Linked DNA regions of Callithrix jacchus. The protein of the gene in region 2 purifies or fractionates together with the protein of the main gene of each other region. This does not show direct contact. Links are inferred from orthologs where the notes say so. Each region holds a gene or a part of one and is shown on either strand. Other genes may lie near its edges.

Region 1 (4,152 bases), on a different chromosome or scaffold from region 2:
TTTCACTTTCTTAAAAAAGCTCCCCACTGCTTTAAGGATAATGTCCAGGTCTCTTACAAGACTTGCCAGCCTTTAAAACGTGGTCCCAGGTTAGTTACCTCTTCCCCCTTTAATTTTATGGTTAGATCAAGCAGAGTTCTTCTTAGTCACATCCTATTCCCCTGCCTAGAAACCCATCTCCCAGCCAGGAATGGTGGCTCACGCCTGTTAATCCCAGCACTTTGGGAGGCCAGGGTGGGTGGATCACCTGAGGTCAGGAGTTCAAGACCAGCCTGACCAACATGGTGAAACCCCGTCTCTTTAAAGATGCAAAAATTAGCTGGGCATGGTGGCACATGCCTGTAATCCCAGCTACTCAGGAGGCTGAGGCAGGAGAATTGCCTGAACTCAGGAGGAGGAGGAGGTTGAAGTGAGCTGAGATCTTGCCATTGTAATCCAGCCTGGGCAACAAGAGCAAAACTCTATGGCGGGGGTGGGGGTGGGGAGAGGAAGAAACCCATCTCCCTACCCTCTTATCAGTTGTTTTTTTAAAAAATAATTTAAAATTTATTTCTTGTAGAGACAAAGTCTCACTGCATTGCCCAGGCTGTTAAACTCCTGGCCTCAAACGCTCCTCCTGCCTTAGACTACCAAAGTGTTAGGATTACAGGTGTCAGAGCCACTGCCTCTGGCCCTCTTGTTGGTTATCTGGTCACCCAATACTTCATTAAGATTAGGTGTCACTACCATTTGCTCTTGTAGTGCCCTGTGCTTCACCTACTAGGTTTCGTCAAATTCTCTGAATCCACCACTAGTGTGAAATCTTTGAGAGCAGAAAGCATTTTAATTATCCTGTGTCCAAAACACGTACCTAAATGCCCAACTCATTTTGAATAAATGAAGTTACCTTCTTTGTAGGGTTGGGTGGAGGATTTTCAACTCAGAACTTTGGACTTCAGATAGTCTTTGTTACTACAGTTTAAAGATTCATTCTCGGGCATGGAAGAACAATTTAGGTTAAAATCAATAAAATTTACAATTTAGGACGAGGCATAAATTCATATGCAAATATCACGCTCAAACGAAGGATTTATGCTCATCAGTCTTTTACTTAAAGCAAACAGGGTGGAGAATAGCTCCTTGCGAAACATACCACCTGCCTAAAAGTGCAGTCGCTCGGGCGCTCCAGTCCAGGAGAGGTTTTTGGCACTTAAGGCTCCGCCCAAAGGCCCCCAAGTGGCGGAAGAGCCTCACGCACGACGTGCCGCCTCACACTCCCGCGGAGGCGTCGCGACGCAGCGCCGATGTGGGCGGAGCGGCCGGCCCTTCCTCTGGCGCCTTCGGCTCCTCCCCCAGCGCCTCACACGCTCATTGTGAAGCGACCGCGGCCGCCGGCTTCTAAGGCGGTTTGAGACCTTGAGACCCTAAATCCTTGGCGCGCGTGAGCGCCCGCGCCGCTCCTTACCCACTCCCAGGGCTAGGGGTGCGAGGTTCACCGACTTGATTCTCTCCCTCCCTACCGCAGGAGGTGACCGCGCCGGTGTGCGCTGCACCTCGCGCCACCGCTCGCTCCGGCTGCCCCTCCCCCCGGGAGCTCCCGCCCGCGCGCTCCTCCCTCCCCGCGCCCCGGCGACGCGCACGCGCGCCAGCCCGGCTCGCGCCCTCTCGCTTTCCTCCAGCCCGCGAGACCCCCTCCCCTTCCGCCTCGCGGCGCTTCCTCGCGCCGCGGTCTTCTCTCTCCACCCCCGACACCGCGGGGCTCCCCCCGCCCGCCAACGGCGGGCCCCGGCTGCCCGATCCCCCTCGCTTCCCGCGCTCTCCGGCGGGGCCCCAGCCCCGGCCCCCTCTCTCCCTCCCTTCCCTCTGATTCCCCTTCCGGACGCTGCCATCATGTTGAAGCCTCAGCCGCCACAACAGCCCTCCCAGCCCCAGCAGCCGCCCCCCACGCAACAGGCCGTGGCCCGCCGGCCCCCCGGGGGCACCAGCCCTCCCAACGGCGGGCTCCCGGGGCCGCTGGCCACCTCCGCGGCTCCGCCCGGGCCTCCAGCGGCCGCCTCCCCCTGCCTGGGGCCTGTGGCCGCTGCCGGTAGCGGGCTCCGCCGGGGAACAGAAGGCATCTTGGCGCCGCAGCCGCCGCCGCCGCAGCAGCAGCACCAGGAGAGGCCAGGGGCTGCCACCATCGGCAGCGCCAGGTGAGGACGGTGGGCTCCGGGCGGGGAAGCCTCGGCCACCCGGAGACGGGCTCGGTTCCGGCGGGGCGTACCCCGACTCGGCACCGTGAGGGGCACCGGCGGGGCGAGGAGCCCCCGTGAAGCCGGGGGAGGGCCCCCTCAGGTCCAAACAGGTCGGAGGGAAAGGGTCCCCGAGCTGCTACCGGAACGCTGAGGGGCCGCGCTCGGCTCTCGGGGCCTAGTCAGGGCTCGCAGTCCCGGCCTTCAGGGGAGGCGGGGCGCATCCCGCCGGCGCCGTCGAAACGGGGAGTTGGGGGGGCGAGGAGGTGATCGGGGTCCCCGGTTCCATTACCACGAAGGGTCTCGCGGTTCCCGGCTTTAGCCAATAGGGAGTCTGCTGCGGGAAGGGGTCCCCGGCCGTAGCCAATGGAGGGGGGCGCGCGGCCCACAGTTTGGCCAATGGGGAGGGAGGGACTTGGGAGCGGGTTGCTGCCTCCCTTTTCCCGTCGGTCTGGCCAGTAGGAGGGGAGCGAGGTGGGCGGGGGGACGGAAGGAGGGACGGCTGGGAGGACTGCGGGACGGGAACCTCTGGCGCGCGCGCCCCCTTCCCGTACGTGCGCGTGGATGCTCGGTCTCATGACCCGGGCATTCGCGCGTCCCTGGAACACCTAGGGCAGGAGCTGGGACAGTTCGTGGAGGGGCTCGTCTGGTGGCGGTGCATGAGTAGTGGACGCCCTGCTCAGTTTTTTCTGTGTGTGCGTGTGTGTTAATAGAACTGAGAGTGGCGGCACACGCAGGCGCAGTGGGCTCTGATCGCGCGAGGTGGGGGGGTTTTGAAGAGGCCCGTGGGCCTTAGTGCGCAGGCGCAGACCGGGCGATGCCTCCCGGTGGATGGCTTTTGCGGCTGCGCTGTCCCCCAGCCCCGCCAGCGGCCCCCTCTTCGCCCTCCTCAACCGCCGGTTACATCAGCCAGCGACGAGCAGGGTTACCTGGCGTTTGGTGACATCCGCAGAGTGGGTAACGGGGTGAATGAGTTATGAGGTCGAGGGGATGGGATGTGGAAGGGATACCCCCTCCTCCCAGGGTTTGAGGCGTCAGGCTGCTGAAAATATGATTGTCTTTTCTGTTTGGGAGGTAATGTGCCTGAGCTAGGTAGTTTCGAAGCTGCACTCCTGGAGCTTTGCCTGCACAGCTGGGGTGGGTTTTTGGTTAATCCGTAGCATTGATCTGTTGGTAACATGCAGGCAGCCCTAACCCCTTTCTCGTTGGTTTTTAGAGCAATTGACAATCGTTGTTGATTGAGATCTTTTTTTACTGGCATTAGGAGGAAATGTGTTTCCTGGCTTTTTAACGCCTACTTTTTTCTTCCTCTGCAAGATGAAAATCTTATTGATTGGCCAGGCGAAGTGGCTCGTGCCTGTAATGCCAGCACTTTGGGAGGCAGAGGTGGAGGATCCCTTGAGCCCAGGAGATCGAGACCAGCCTGGGCAACATAGGGAAATCCCATCTCTACTAAAAATGTAAAAAAAAAAAAAAAAAAAACCAGGAGTGGTGGTGCCCACCTATAATCCCAGCCACTTGGGAGGCCAAGGCAGGAAGATTTGAGGCTGCAGCGAGCTGAGATTGTGCCATTGCACCCCAGCCTGGGCAACAGAGGGAGACCCTCTCAAAAAAAAAAAAAAAAAAAAGGAAAAAATCTTACTGATTAATGATTTTGTAGTCCAAATCAGCATCATCAAGTGGTATATGCTTCTGGAATGGAACATTAATTTCAAAGTGGTCTAAGAAGGCTTGAACAGACTTAAATAACTAATTTTTTGTTTTTTTCTCTTATAGGGGACAGAGCACAGGAAAGGGACCCCCACAATCACCTGTGAGTGTCTCCTCCCACCCTCTTTAAGATACGTGGACCTAAAAGATGCATAATGTGAGAATTTAGGGCACATTAGGTCTAGAGAGAGTCTGATGTACTCAGGAGGGCTGTGGGCCCAACACACACAAG
Region 2 (3,953 bases):
TCTCATTTTTCAATAATTTCTTTCTTTATTTATTTTTTGAGATAGAGTCTCACTCTGTCACCAGGCTGGAGTGCAGTAGCACGATCTCGGCTCACTGCAACCTCAGCCTCCCTGGTTCAATGAATTCTCCTGCCTTAGCCTCCCGAGTAGCTGGGATTACAGGCACCTGCCACCATCCCCAGCTAATTCTTCTATTTTTAGTAGAGACGGGGTTTCACCATGTTGGCTAGGATGGTTTTGATCTCCTGACCTTGTGATCTGCCCGCGTCGGCCTCCCACTGTGTTGGGATTGCAGGCGTGAGCTACCCAGCTCGGGCAGTTTTCAATAATTTCTAAGCACACACTCATTAACTGCGAAGATACCTTAACACATCGTGAACTCAATGTTTCACCCGGGCAAATGTCAAAAGCAATGACAGTACAGCCAAAAAGTTTATTCACTGTCTAAACTACGTGGATTTAAATATATTCTACTTAATTTGCTATGGAATGAGGCTCCCACTTATCCTTAAAATAACATGCTTAGTGTCTGGGAAGGGCTTTAGAAATCAGGTAGAGTCCGAGTGAGGGTAAACGACCCAACTTTCTGAATATCCACTGTCTAAGGAAAGTTGACTCTCCCTAACCCTGAAACACAGCTACGGCAGCCACAAGGAAATCAAACGTCTCGCTATCTGCACTTGGGCCGTCTACCCCAGTTCTGGGCAAATGACCCGCAAGCTAAGGCTAGCACAGGCCGGCACACTACGAAGAGCCACCGGATCCCCTGTCTCGGATGAAGAGATGCGGTTTCACAGCCGACTCCACCCGAGTCCCGACACCAGGTTCTTCCAAGCTCCCTCCCTGCCCGCCTCGCCCCCCTAGATTCGCACATGCGTACACCCAATAAAGAGAGCCGAGACCTCTCCCCCTCGCGTGGTCCCCACACCCAGCTGCCACGCAGCCGGTCCTCCTGCCCTTCTTTGGCGGTTGGCTTCACTATCCAGTAACACGCATGTGCAAAACTGCGCGGCCCTACAATTCCTTAGCAGGCAGGGGTGGGGCTGTCAGTGGGACCAAGTTTCTTGCGCACGCTCCGGACATGCGCAGTGCGGGAGCTGAGGCGCCAGCTGTCGATTTGGAAGTTCCGGGGAAGTCGCGCATGCGTGAGTGTACGCGTTGCCGGCGAAGAGGGGAGCCTGACGACTCGGAAATTTGAATACCACAGTAGCATGGAGTGTGACCTCATGGAAACTGACATCTTGGAGTCGTTGGAAGATCTAGGGTAAGACTGCCAGGGCACGGGTCTCCCAAGCCCTACACTGCCGGCCCCCTGGGAACGCCTCCAGCACCCCAGTCTGAGACACCTGCCTCTCCACGCCGCACCCCGTGGCTCCTGGCTGTCTCTTCCCTTTGGCCCCGGAACCCCCCAATGCCACGTCCTCTGTCTGCACTGCTCTCTCGGGGTCCTCCAATCCCAACACCCCTAGGCCAGCCCGGTGCTTCCTGCAGCCGAGCTACCCGCAGTGTTTGTCAGTCATGCGTGTCATTGTCTGGGCTCTGGTTCTCGCCACCCCCACTCCCCGAGCTTCTCTCCTTGCTTCATCTTCCTGCCCTGCCCTTAATCCCCCAACTCTAAATTTGCCAAAGTTGGTTCTGCTTTCCTACTTGTTCTCCAAATTTCCTGCTCCCATCTTGAGCCCCTACTCCTACCTCACCCCACTTCTCTCAAAATTTCTCGTTTGCCCAGTCATCTCTGCATGCACCCAGGCTTCCCTAAGCCACATGTATGAGCGTTGCATCTGTTCCGCTAGCCAGCTCACTTGTGCATCTAACCTATCACCACCTCCTTGGGAACCACCGGCAGTTTCCCTTGATTCTGTGACTCTCTGCCTCGTTGAGCCCCATTAGACCAGGGTCGTCTTCACCCACCAAGAAGCTGCATATTTGTTTTGCATTTTGTCTCTCCTCCTCCTGATAGTTATTCAACCATAATTCAACAGGATCTAGAAGCTGGAAATAGGGTTTGTTATCTCACTGGGTCACCCAGATCAGTGAACTCTATTAAACTTGAGAACGTGTAACCTCTTGGGCTATGTGGTTCCAGTAACAAATTATATGATTAGATATTTACCTACAGGTACGGTATCAGAACAAAGTACAGATTTAGCTGGCTAAGTAACAAGTTCTTTATCAAAACTCTCTCTTGTTTTTCCACAACAACAAGGAAATCTTTGAGAGAAACCTTTCTTTAGGAAAAAACACCTTGAGGATTCATCTTTCTTTGTCAAAGTGAAATACCATTGTTCTTTTCTTGGAAACTTGCTTTGAATTTTCATAAATATTCCAGACTTTAGGGCGCTTCTTTCATTAGGGCACATGTTAAAGTCATTCACCAAAATAGTCTCTTTAGTTGACATCTCAGACTGAATTGCCTGTTCACACATGAAACCATTCATTCATTAGGCCTTTTAAAGGAACAGTTGCTTTGTGGCAGTGTTGGGTACTTAGGGTACAAAGTGAGGTGGAAGAAGGGTTCACAGGATGCTGGAAAAATATGCTTTGAGGAGCCCTGAGGAGGGTCCCTTCACTGGGAAAGGAAATGAAGTCCTAGAAGCTTCTTTCTGGAATAAATGACACCGTAGTACTGAAGGAAGAGTGGAATGAAAGGGAGTAGCAAGACCTTATTTAAATAGTCTTTCTGCATGGATGGTGGTCACTTAAGAATTGGCCACCGATGCTGTTTCTTCCCATTGTCTCTTTTTTCCCTCCTTTTTAAAAAACTTTTTATTCTTTTGGGTACTCTACAAGTAATTGTTACTGTAGTAATTGTAATCACATAAATACTTGAGTTGGATTGTAATGTAAACAATGGATTTTCCAAAAATGATTATACATTTTAACCTTAACTACTTATTGTGGTGGCGTTCATACATTAAAAAGTCTTAATTAATTGAAATGTACTTTTCAGGGATTCACTGGGAAATATTAGAATTAAACGACTACCTTTTCTATTTATTTATTAAGAGATGAGGTCTCTCTCTGGTAACCAGTTTTGTCACCAACTCCTGGGCTCAAGTGATCCTCCCACCTCAGGCTCCAGAGTAGCTGGAACTACAGGTGTATGCACTGATCCCCCAAATGACTCTTTTGTCTCTTACGTGGCACCCAGTAGGAATTCAGTAACTACTTGTTGAATAAACTAATGAAGCCTAAATGTGAAACACAGGGAGAAACTTCTAGGTCTAGTCTTTTGATTCTGGTATCTAATAATATGTAGTTTCTAAATCTAGATGCCAGACTACATGTAATCTCATTTTTTTGTGTATGATTTTTTTCATTCTGTTGCATATACTGTATATACCTATAATCATATTTTAAAGGGATTGAGAACTCATTTCTCTAACATATCTGTATCTCTAAACATTATCAAGCATATTTACTGTAACATCTTGAATAAGTGTTATTATCAATATTTAAGAGAATATAAAACAATCTGAATAATACGTATATGATTACTTGGAGTGACAAAAGTTTTTTTTTTTTTTGAGACAGAGTTTCGCTCTTGTTACCCAGGCTGGAGTGCAATGGCATGATCTCGGCTCACCGCAACCTCCGCCTCCTGGGTTCAGGCAATTCTCCTGCCTCAGCCTCCTGAATAGCTGGGGTTACAGGCACGCGCCACCACGCCCAGCTAATTTTTTGTATTTTTAGTAGAGACAGGGTTTCACCATGTTGACCAGGATGGTCTTGATCTCTTGACCTCGTGATCTACCCGCCTCGGCCTCCCAAAGTGCTGGGATTACAGGCGTGAGCCACGGCGCCTGGCCCGACAAAAATCTTAAATTTTAGAATATTGGTGATTGGAGTTCATTATGACTATCATCTTTTATGAACGTTTGAACATCTTTAAATTTTTAAAAATTACATTAGGATTACTTAAAAGGATTAGGATTCAGATGCCCCAGTTCATT
Region 3 (3,514 bases), on a different chromosome or scaffold from region 2:
TTTGTCAATACCATTGATCAAATAGTTTTCTAAATACTTAAAATAGTTCACATAACTGATAAGAATGTGCACTTTAATGACTTGCGGAGTAGTTTTCACTTCAGCATTACTTAAAATTGGCTTTTGTGTCAAGCAAAGTAATAAAACATTATATACGTTATTGACATATACATTATGTAGCATGATGAAATACTCGTGATATACTAAGATAAAGTGCTGCATTTAACCCAAGACAATCACTTGGCCAAAAACACTCCGCGTATAAAGAAATTGGAAACTTTGGATAGGTTCTCAATTTTAAAAACACTAGGTAATAAAATTATTTAGATATAATGTATATGGAAAATTTTAACCTATGTGCAACACTGTGGTTAATATAGATTCATTTTCATTAACTGTTTTTGTATTATGCTTCAAGAAAGGATCTCAGGTAACTTACAAGATATGATCAAGAGTCATGTGAAGAAAGTGACTAGAGAAATGTGCTTAAAAAACAACAAAAACAACTCAGTCTAAGGGTAGATGTTATAGTTTAGCAACTTAAGTTAAAGAAACCTGAATCTTTAGTAGGAAGACATATTTTACTCTACCTCTAAATCTAGATTGAATATATCTTGTAGGTTGTGGATCTTTTTCATAAATCAGGAATACTGAACAACAGTTCTATGGATGGTATGGAAATAGTAATAGCAATAATATGTTACTAACATTGAGAAAAGAGTGGATGTTCAATTTTAGATATTTAAATTTGGAAAGTTAGAAACATGAAAATAGAGAACACTAAGTTTCCAGTTTCGTTTGTTTTCATTGAGTCTTTTCTCCAGAATTCCTCTCCAAATGGACACTCTTGAGTATTTTCTGTACTTAATATTGGGGGTGAAATTTCTTTGCTCACTGAGGAAAGATTTTAGTTGTTCATAAACAGAATTTTAAAGTTAAAAAACCTTAAGGGGCTGGACAATGCATGATACTCAAGTGTGTGGAACTCCATGGAGAGGAGACCTGGAGTGTTTGATAAGATTAAGGTAAGTGATATGTAATGTTAAATACTAGCTGTATCTTTACCTGGGCATATCCATCAGTATAGATTTATTTGGTGATGACTGCCTTGTAATTGCAGTATTTACTAAGCAGTCGCTTAGATAAGTGTTTAACTGTATAAATTATTTAGAAGGTCTCCCTTTTTCAAGTTTAATGAGATCAAGACTTTTTTGAAAGAGCAATGAATATTAGCGTTTGATACTCCTGTGACTCTAGAAAAGAGTAATTTTTTTTTTCTGCTTCAATGGGACTTGCTTAATGAGATTTCAAACTGAATTTTAGGTTTAAACCTGATGAAAATCAGATGACTATAAGGAACCAGTATTTCTAATTGGATATAATAGCTACTGCTTATTTTCATTATGCTTCAAAGTTAAAACTAATACAGTAAATAATCTTATTCCTGAGTAGGAATTATTATGATTTATTATGTGAAATTATCTAATGTATGTTATATTCCTTTAAACAACTGATTACTTGAGAGTTATAGAAGCAGGATTAATAGGCAAAGTCTTAACTGTCTTCTTCAGTAGTGTGTGTAGATCCTAATTAACCCTTTGGGAACGTGTATTCATTTAAACAGACTTAATCTTAAGGAGGTTAAAGTAAAATGTGAATTTATGTCAGTTAAGTTATGTTAAAACTTATCACAAATCAAATGACTGTCCTCAAAGGGTTAAAATGTACGAGAAATCATTTTTGTCATTTTACTTTTTTTTCTGTTTACTTTTTTCCCTCATTTTTTTCTTTAGTTTTTATACTTTCCTTCATATCATTTGTTCTGTCAGGTGTTCCCTGGCCATCGCCTTGCCCATCTCCTTCCTCTCGCCCACCTTCTCGCTACCAGTCAGGTCCCAACTCTCTTCCACCTCGGGCAGCCACCCCTACACGGCCGCCCTCCAGGCCCCCCTCGCGGCCATCCAGACCCCCGTCTCACCCCTCTGCTCATGGTTCTCCAGCTCCTGTCTCTACTATGCCTAAACGCATGTCTTCAGAAGGTACAATACCACAATTTGTTCATGTTTTTGTTTGTCTTTGTTTAACTCCTATGTGAGTTTATAATTACAAAATAGTTTCCTCTTCATTATTTAATAACCTATAATTTCTGTGTTTTAACTTTAGTTTATTAAAACTATTTCTATTAACCTTTTGTTCATTAGAGAGAAATTTGATAAATGTTGTGTGAAGCTATGAATTATCTGAATCATTGTTAAAAAGGGATTTATCTCTGCCTGGTAATTATGCTTCTTTACAGCCCCAGAAAGGGCTGCCCCACAGCCTTATTTGCACTATATGCAGTAATGATAAACAAATGAACTTTCTTCAGCCAGTCTTGAACTTGGGTTCATTTTACAGCTCCTTGGCCAAGGTCCTAATGAACCTTTCTATTGGCTGTAAGAAGGAATGGTGTTTTGTCGGTCCTTTTTGAGAGTGACAGCCTATATAGCTGCCTTCGTGTGTCTGCTCTTAGATTAAAGTAGTTTGATTTTTAGAATGCCTGAGGAATTCTAAATTTTCACTGAGTAATTTTTTTAAGATTAGCTTTGCAATATTATATAGTGAAAGGCTGCTTTAATCTGGGAGAAGTCTTTTATCTAAGATAAAATTATGGATAAAAACCACGTATGAATTTGAATATTTAGCTATTTTTTTCCCTTCATATAAGGGAAAAAATAAGAATAAAATCTTGTAATTCTTTATTAGTATTTGGTGCTAAATCCAATATTGCAACATATCAAATACATGGATATGTTGTAGAAAAGTAACATTCTAATTTAAATGCCATGTATATATTAAAAACCTGTTTTCTGAATCATAATGTCCTCTTGATATTAGTTCTGAATATTTATGTTAACCTTTTAATCTGATTTATTCATTAAAATTATGCTTGATATTGCTTATATTGGGACAAATAAAGTTTTCTGCACAAAGTGTGTTTCTCCTGCTTCCCTGGAGAAAAGGAGGCTGCTTTTAAATAAATTGTTACCATCTAAGCAGGCAAGTCATGTGACTTTGATGCATGTAACCTTGAAGAGTAAGTTCCACTGATTTTCAAGGTGATTTCTTTACCAAAAGAGCCTTAATAGTGGTCACTAAATGCAAAGTTATTTTTCTTGCAGTCCATCATTTGAATAAGTAATATTTATATAATGAGAAAATATTTAAGACATGATCATTAATGACTGTTAACATCTTTATTACATTAAGATGTAAGGACTGCTCATGGACTATTCACACAGAAATATGCCTTCTGTGTCATTCAGAGATGTCAAATATTGCCATTTGAAAATTATAGTGTATAATATTAGCATTCTTTTAAAGATCAAGTTCATGTTTAAATTCTTCTTGGGAGCAAGACATGGTGGCTCACACCTGTAATCCCAGCACTTTAGGAGGCTGAGGCAGGCGGATCACTTGAGGTCAGGAGTTTGAGACCAGTCTGGCTAGCATGGTGAAACCTCGTCTCTACTAA
Region 4 (3,340 bases), on a different chromosome or scaffold from region 2:
CTGATAATGCAAAAACTGCTGACAATGCAACTAAAAATGCAGAACCATTGATCAATTTGGATGGTGAGTATATAATGCGTAACATTGAACATCAATATTTTGGGTTGCTTAAATGTTTTTTACTTTAAAGAATGAAATCCACGTTGACTTGGTTTTAGTAAATTAACAAGGATCCATGCAGACAGTATTTATGTTGACCTTTTATTCTCTATGTTTTTATAGTGTGCTTTCTTCTTCCCCTTGCATTTGAACATCTGAATGTTAATTTGATTTGCTTCTAGAAATTTGAGGTTTTAATTTGTATTTAATCATGGGGCCATTGTTTACCTTTTTGAATGTATAAATTTCTTTTAATCCAGCGACTGGTGAGACGTGGTAAAATTTTCCATTAAGTCTCAGATGTCTTTGAGTAATTTCTCTTTTTAAAAGTATGAAGAATCTAATTACCTAGATTATAATATGTTAAATATTCCTTCACTGGCTAATTCATTGTGACCTCTAATTTAGGAGTTAACCCTTTTTAATGAGAGAGGCGTTTAGACACTCCTGGGCCACTGCTTAGAGAGAAGGTTTTGGGAAAACTATCCATTGAGGGGATCTGTGTATTAAAATTAAAAGCCTTGAGAAGAAATGTTAATTAAAAGTGCTACATAAATTAGCCTTGCAGAAAAAGTTACAGGACAAACCTAATGTGAGTTAAATTAGTCATTTATTGAATTATTCAAGTTGGCTGATGAAGTACAGATGCTCCTTGAATGATGATGAGATCATTTTGAAAATATCATAAATCATTACCTGAATATCAGAATTCATGTAACACCCCAAAAGACCCATTGTAAAGTTGAAAAATGAAACTGGAAGCACTGTAAGTTCAGATTTTCCTCACCTTGCATTAGAGTTACATCCCACTGAATTCATTCTAAGATCAAAAGCTTGTAAGTCCAACCATCCTAAGTTGGGGACCGTCTCATACAGTCATAGGAAAACCATTTTATCTTTTACCAATTTATTTAGTTGTTGATAGTCTGCAGGGCTTCATTTTTTATCTCGTGAGTAGCAGTTTTAAAAACTAAGAGATTTGTTGTTACCGAAAAGTGAAAAATATTTTTGTATGTCCACAAATATGTCTGTAATTATACATTTGCAGAGTTGTAAGTTTTTCTTTATTTTTAATCTTCTATAGTAAATAATCCTGATTTTAAGGCTGGTGTGATGGCTTTGGCTAACCTGCTTCAGATTCAACGTCATGATGATTACCTGGTAATGCTTAAGGTCAGCTTCATGGTCTGGATTCTTGACAGAAACTGCATGTAGATAAATGTCTTTATTTTCTAAATATCAACTATTGATATTAAAATTTATGATCAAATGACTAAAATACAGTAGAAGAATGTGGGATATAAAACAGATTTCACGGTTTTATCTAATTTGGATTGTCTGTTTTGTGCCTGCCACTATGCTAAATCCTTTGCAAAGATGTTCTCATTCAATCTTGCCAACAGTCCTAGAGACAAATGCTAATATCTTTTTAAAAATATATATGATATGAAGAAACTGAGACTTAATGAGGATAGGTAAATGTGTCTAAAATGACAGAGCCAGGATTTTGAGCACTGTAACTCTGTGGTCCATTCTCTTTCCCACATTACCCTACTTCTGTTCAGTTAGTCCTTTTAATGATTCATGGTCTGTATTCATTAAGACAGTGAAAACTGCCAAATGAGTAATGGTGAATTTGGTCAGAAATATATATAACCCCAAAATCTCTTTGAGAAATGAATCTTTCTGTCCCCCATCCTACATAGTCCACTCAGTTTATAACTATACTTCAGGGAGCCCAGTAATCTTAAAGAGGTCTCTTGTTTCTGAGAGAAATCATAAATTTCAAAAGATTTATTCCTAGTAATCATGCAGGTACAGTGGTGTGGATCAGGGGAGTGGTACTTAAGATACCAGACTTGGAAATTATTTTAGAAATTATTAACGATTTTACAAGAGATTAAAAGCCAGACCTTGTGCATATAAACTACTTTGTGATAAGTTGAATAATTAAATTTCACTCTACCCAGAAGAGATTAAGCTATAACTTAACATGCTTTTTAGATTTTTATGTACTAAATATCAGTTTTGACAACACTGTTGTATTCCTAAGGTATTAAAATTTTCTGTACTGTATCTGAATGTTAACTTGGATTTTCTCAAAACAGATTGCATGCCTAAAGACAAAAATGTTTGTAGTGAAATTTAGCTATTTCGAAGGCTTGTTCTTTATTCAGACAATTATGTTAATTGCCTTGGAACAGTTCTACAGTGATCATGTCAGCTTTAATCATAAAGTAAGTGAGAGGAGCATCAGACAATGGATAGTGTATTTGGGGTTCTTTTGTTAGACTTCAAAACCCAAGGAGATAAAGTATAAATCAGCTACAACAAAAAGCTATAAAATTCTAGTCCTAGCTGCACATTTTTTCCTTTTGAGTTATTTTAAGAGGCTTTCAAACAGTAACATAATATGGAAAACATCTTAGTACATTTGTCAAGTACAAGAATCAGTATATTAACTATTTGGCAACCAGAATGTTTAATATGTTTGCAGTCACTGTTAAACATTGTTTGAATTCTCTTTTTCAAAGATAGCATTTGGTTTTTTTATTTAAAGTTTTCACACTTATTTTTGAGTTGTAACTGTCATCTCTCTAATTAAAATTCATTTTAAAAAAATTTGACTTTTAAGTGTGTATGGATACTTGCATGCATGCATGCCATAATGAAATGCCTTGGTGATCAAAACCACCAACAGTGTCCTTTGAAAGGTAAGAAAATATTTTACTAGAGTGAAGTGATAAAAGCAAAGTGTAAGACACTATGCATGATCTGCTACCCTTTGTGTCAAAAATGTGTATTCGTGCATAAGCATGCTCATCATTTCACAGTTTTAGGGTGAGCGTACATAAGAATCTGTAGGGGATCACAGGGCTAGGAAGGAGACCTACTTTTTGCCATGTATCCTGCTGTATTTAATAGGCACATGCATTACCTATTCAAAAATAGTTTTAATTGTTGCAAGCATCACTCAACATTATTAAAATACTAGAAGTGTGAAAGGTTACCTTATATTAGTGGTTTGGTTTTTTATTTTTAATTTATTGGAGAGTTTATTAATGAACTAGGTAATTCTGACTTCATCAAATTGAGCGTCCTTATTCTCTAGGCTCATAGAAAAAAGGATGACAGGTAAACAACCTATAAAAAGTGAAAATATTTTTGGGTTTCTTAGGCAATTCGAATTTTGGTTCAGGAGCGCCTGACACAGGATGCAGTTGCTAAGGCAAATCAAACA
Region 5 (4,173 bases), on a different chromosome or scaffold from region 2:
ACAAATTACTCAACACATTTGGCCTTCTCTTGCGCCCTCTTCTGGATAAAAAACTGTTCCTCTTTAGATTTGTGAGTAAAGGGCTACAAAAGCCTACCTCAATATGTTACAGATAAATTTCAAAAATATTCTAATGTTTTCTTAGTTATTAGCATTATGCATGTCAAAGCAACAGCACTGTGACCAAACCATACACTCGCCCAAAACTGTTTACATTTTGTCAAAACTGCTAATTTCAGTTTCCTCTTTATCCACTACCCCTTCCAAGATAACACATATTTGGAGGAATACCACTTTGAATGGTTTAGGGGCTGCTTATATAGAGAAAGAAGTCCTGCAACAGTGTATTAACCTGACCAATAAAATTCAATTTTCAATCTCAACAGTCATATTGTCTTATATAGCCATAATATGGTAGTATTTCCTCATCTTTTGAACAAGATCTAATGCTAAAAAGATCTAGTTATATAGTCCCTAACAGTTTTTAAACTGCTCCAGATCTTTAGCATTAAACACCTAACTCACATGTGTTCACTTCTACTGCATGCCATCGGTCCCTAACAACTCCCAAAATGGAAAATCTGACATTGTAATTTCAATCTTCAAGTTACGATCTGCAATAAAAGTTTTCCCCCAGCTCTCAATAATTCCTTCTCTCAAATTTAATACGCTGAGTTTAACATATGCTGATGCTTCTTCTCTTTGGATTTATAAAGAGCCCTTATTTTTAAAAATCTGCATGGTATTAAACTTTTAAACTCCTCGTGAAACACTTTATGACTTTTACCTCAATTTCTCGTTTAAGATTAGTTTGGGGATCAATATCGGTTTTAAAATATGAAAAACCTTTCTTTTTAACATGGAGAGAAACCTCATCCCAGGCAAGATGGTAGTAATCTAACCTCATGGATGAGCCACTCGGGTTCACCCATAAGGACAAGAAAGAGGAGTCAAAAAGCTCGCCCTCTTCCCCATCCTAACACTTTTTAAAATTCCTCACCTCAAAGACACTGCCCAAGCTCAGAAGGTAAGGGCTGGGTGGGGAGGGGAATGGAGCAAGGTTTTTTGTTTTTTGTTTTTTTTTTAAATAGAAAATGAGCTGTTAGAAGGAAAGGGCCCAAGTGAAAGCCTCAGAGGCGGAGTCGTGAGCGAACCTGGCAGGAGATGAGGTTCCTGTGGCAGAGAAACTCGTGACCGGGGAGCTGGGTTCCCGCTGGGTACCCCACCCGGCCTCAGGCACCGCCTCTACCCAAAATGAATCCCCCCGCCGCCCCTCCAAGGCCTCCTGCCCCGAGGAGCAGCGCGGCCGCAACCCGCGGCCTCCTTCCCCCCCACAGCTCTGCTTCGAGGCCGGCTCCCCGCCCCGACTGCCCGCGCCTCCCGCCGCACCCGGGAGCGGGAAACGCGGCCGCTGGCGCGCGGGGCCCGACGCAAGCCGCTCCCCTCGTGGCTGCTTCCCTCCCCCACCCCAACCGCCCCCGCCCCTCACCCCAGGGACCCGCCCGGGGCCGCGCGCCGCCACCGGGTTACACAACCCCGGCGGCGACGGGGGGAGGGGCGGCCACGGGGCGGGGGTCGGCGGTGCCCCCGCAGTGCAGGGGGCGAGGCGGCGGCCGGTGGTGATCCCGGGTCACCCGGCTCCGCCGCGCCTTGTGGACCTCGACACCCTTCCCCCTCCGCTCCTCAGTGGGCCAGAGTCGGTGACAGGAATCGGCTTCCAACATGGCGGACAGGAAGCGGCCCCGCGAGGAGGAGAGAACATTCCAGCCGCGCCGGCTCTAGGGGGAGCGAGCCCGGGGCGCCGGCCTCGGGAGGAGCCGAGGGGAAAGACTGCAGGGTCCGACGCCCAAAAAGGGCGTTTAGTGGTGGAAATGACCCGTGAGACAAGGGGTCCCAACAGCCCCCCCCCGCAAGACAGGGAGCCCCAAGGCCACAGGTGGGCTTGGGGTGGCGGGTGAGGGACACTTCTTCAACTCAGCCCACCTACCCGCTCCTCGCCGGCTGCAAAAGGGTCTCGCGACACCACCTGAGTCGGGATTCGCTAGGCCTTCCTGAGTTCCACCTCGAGGGATTTTCTGGGGGGGGTAGGTTCACCCCCTCTCAGGGCCCCCAAATTGAGGTAACTCCAGGGCGGCAGGGAGGTGAATGGGAAAGAATAATAAGCTTGGACTTGCAAGGCCCACCCAGCGGGTCTCCCTTCAGCCGGGGCGGGGGCCGGGAAGGTCACGCTGGCCTAGCTGGGCCTCTCCTATGCTGGAGAGGAGGAGAGGGCGCTGCAAACCCCATTGCCCAGCACGAGCTCTAGAATGAAAGGGGGCATCCCCACAGCCGGAGGGTACACACACACACTTCCACCCCGTCCGCGCTCTTCGGATCTGGCCCCACCCCCATCTCCCCTGTCCTCCACCCCCAACCCCCTTCCCCCACCCGTCCTCCCTCCCAGACCTGTTTTCTTCTTCGGCGTTTCCTGGTGCTGCTGGAGGGTGTGTTTCTGCTCATGTTTCAGCGGCTTTGGCTGGGCCTTGGGGCTGCCCTCGGCTCCATGCTGCAGGTATTGGTGAGGCTGCTGGTGATGATGGTGGTGGTGGTGGTTGTGGCTGTGGTTGTAAAAATAATAATGGTGGTGGTGGTGCGGCTGCTGCTGCTGCTGCTGCGGGTGATGGTGCGGATGGTGGTGGCTGTGATGGTGCTGAGGCTGTGGCTGGCCGGGCTTCTCCTCCATTGAAAGCGGCTGGGACTCCCTGGGTGAGGCTGCGGGCTGCTGCACCGTCAGGATCTGAGACTGCTTCTCAGGGCTCACTCAGTATATCTGAGCGCGTCTCGCCAGCGCACTGGTTAACCGAGCGATTCTGCAAGATTGGCAGTCGCGCTCCAGCAATCAGGAGCCACGCTGCGCCGCAAGCCCCGCCCCCAGCTCAAATCCTCTTTCCTTCCCCTTCCCCGCTGCCGCCTGGCCAACGCCACTTACCCTGTGCAACCTCACAGGGCCGGGCCTTCAACGTCAGCACTATGGCTCTCTCTTCTGTCGCTTTCTCTCCTTCACCACGCAGTCTGCGAACAGCACTTTCTACACTCCTCGCCGGCAAACAAGCTCGTGTCTAGTGTAGCAGATTCCACTGGCGATTCCACTGGCGCTGGGAGCCATCTGTTGGTTTTGCACTTCTTAGAATCTGGTGTTTTTTTGGTTTTTTAAAAAATCCTTTTCCGGGTAGCCAGAAAGGGAAGCTCAATTCCCTTAACCCCGCGACCACTAAAGAGGCAATACAAAAAGAGGAAATAAATACATTTTTAAGAATACAAGAGCTTCCCAATCCAGTAGATCATTTTGTATTCTGGATTCATTTTGCTTTGTATTCATATGCTAATCTCTTCCTTTCCACGAAGGGATTATTGGGTTCCACAATGGGGTATCTGTGTAATTTTCTAAAAGGGCACAAAGGGTTTAAATCATTGTTTCTTTGTAGTTGGAGGCAAGGGAGAGTGGGAGGAATGAAAATCTATACTGAAGGTTTTTTTGTTTTTTTTTTTTAATTAAACTTTGCAGGTGAGGTCAACTGTGGAACTAAAATAGGTTTTAGAATGTGAAGTTTCCAGAGCACAGGAAGGGGAGAAAGAGAACTTAAAAGTTAAGTGGGTTGTTGTGGTTTTTTTTTTTTTTGCACTTGGAAAAATTGGAATTTAAGGAAATATTCTGTGCTGTTTTGTAGTGTTGATTTAACTTATCCTGCATTACCACATCACAGTATGATTTTCAAAAGCAAATGTTAGAGCCGTGATAGTGGTTAGGAAGGAAGAGGGTTGTGATGGGGAGGGACACAGGTTACTCTGATAACTTTTGGGACAGGTGGTGATTATACATATATTTGCTTGATAATTATTTATTAAACTGATTATACATGTAAAACGCACATTTCTCAATACATGTTATAGATTGGGGGATTTTTTAAATTGTAAAATATTCATTGTATAAAACTTACCATCTTAATTTTAAGTGTACATATGGCCGGGCATAGTGGCTCACACCTGTAATCCCAGCACTTTGAGAGGCCAAGGCAGGCGAATCTCCTGAGGTCCAGGGTTTGAGACCAGCCTGACCAACATGGAGACACCCCGTCTCTACTAAAAATAAAAATAAAAAATTAGCCGGGCGTGGTGGCGCCTGCTGGTAATCCC

What was found.
Region 1: the proteins of FAM98A (region 2) and ATXN2L purify together in Homo sapiens (co-immunoprecipitation; 3 studies listed by BioGRID and IntAct, with this or other methods). This does not show direct contact. The link is inferred for Callithrix jacchus from reciprocal best matches to the Homo sapiens genes FAM98A and ATXN2L.
Region 3: the proteins of FAM98A (region 2) and ATXN2 purify together in Homo sapiens (co-immunoprecipitation; 3 studies listed by BioGRID and IntAct, counting the BioPlex papers as one, with this or other methods). This does not show direct contact. The link is inferred for Callithrix jacchus from reciprocal best matches to the Homo sapiens genes FAM98A and ATXN2.
Region 4: the proteins of FAM98A (region 2) and RTRAF purify together in Homo sapiens (affinity purification with mass spectrometry; 4 studies listed by BioGRID and IntAct, with this or other methods). This does not show direct contact. The link is inferred for Callithrix jacchus from reciprocal best matches to the Homo sapiens genes FAM98A and RTRAF.
Region 5: the proteins of FAM98A (region 2) and NUFIP2 purify together in Homo sapiens (co-immunoprecipitation; 3 studies listed by BioGRID and IntAct, with this or other methods). This does not show direct contact. The link is inferred for Callithrix jacchus from reciprocal best matches to the Homo sapiens genes FAM98A and NUFIP2.

What each region holds. Positions count from the first base shown.
Region 1 is NC_133513.1:29,128,576-29,132,727, reverse strand, and holds the start of ATXN2L (ataxin-2-like protein), read left to right. Parts: upstream 1-1,341; 5' UTR 1,342-1,869; coding exon 1,870-2,171; intron 2,172-2,760; exon of another isoform or gene 2,761-3,041; coding exon of another isoform or gene 3,042-3,163; intron 3,164-3,986; coding exon 3,987-4,023; intron 4,024-4,152. UniProt on the Homo sapiens protein: Involved in the regulation of stress granule and P-body formation.
Region 2 is NC_133515.1:81,385,822-81,389,774, forward strand, and holds the start of FAM98A (protein FAM98A), read left to right. Parts: upstream 1-1,141; 5' UTR 1,142-1,211; coding exon 1,212-1,264; intron 1,265-3,953. UniProt on the Homo sapiens protein: Positively stimulates PRMT1-induced protein arginine methylation. Involved in skeletal homeostasis. Positively regulates lysosome peripheral distribution and ruffled border formation in osteoclasts.
Region 3 is NC_133510.1:114,383,324-114,386,837, reverse strand, and holds part of ATXN2 (ataxin-2), read left to right. Parts: intron 1-1,793; coding exon 1,794-2,039; intron 2,040-3,514. UniProt on the Homo sapiens protein: Involved in EGFR trafficking, acting as negative regulator of endocytic EGFR internalization at the plasma membrane.
Region 4 is NC_133509.1:86,573,799-86,577,138, forward strand, and holds part of RTRAF (RNA transcription, translation and transport factor protein), read left to right. Parts: coding exon 1-63; intron 64-1,183; coding exon 1,184-1,272; intron 1,273-2,207; coding exon 2,208-2,336; intron 2,337-3,277; coding exon 3,278-3,340. UniProt on the Homo sapiens protein: RNA-binding protein involved in modulation of mRNA transcription by Polymerase II. Component of the tRNA-splicing ligase complex and is required for tRNA ligation.
Region 5 is NC_133506.1:104,332,395-104,336,567, reverse strand, and holds the start of NUFIP2 (FMR1-interacting protein NUFIP2), read right to left. Parts: upstream 2,812-4,173; 5' UTR 2,723-2,811; coding exon 2,446-2,722; intron 1-2,445. UniProt on the Homo sapiens protein: Binds RNA.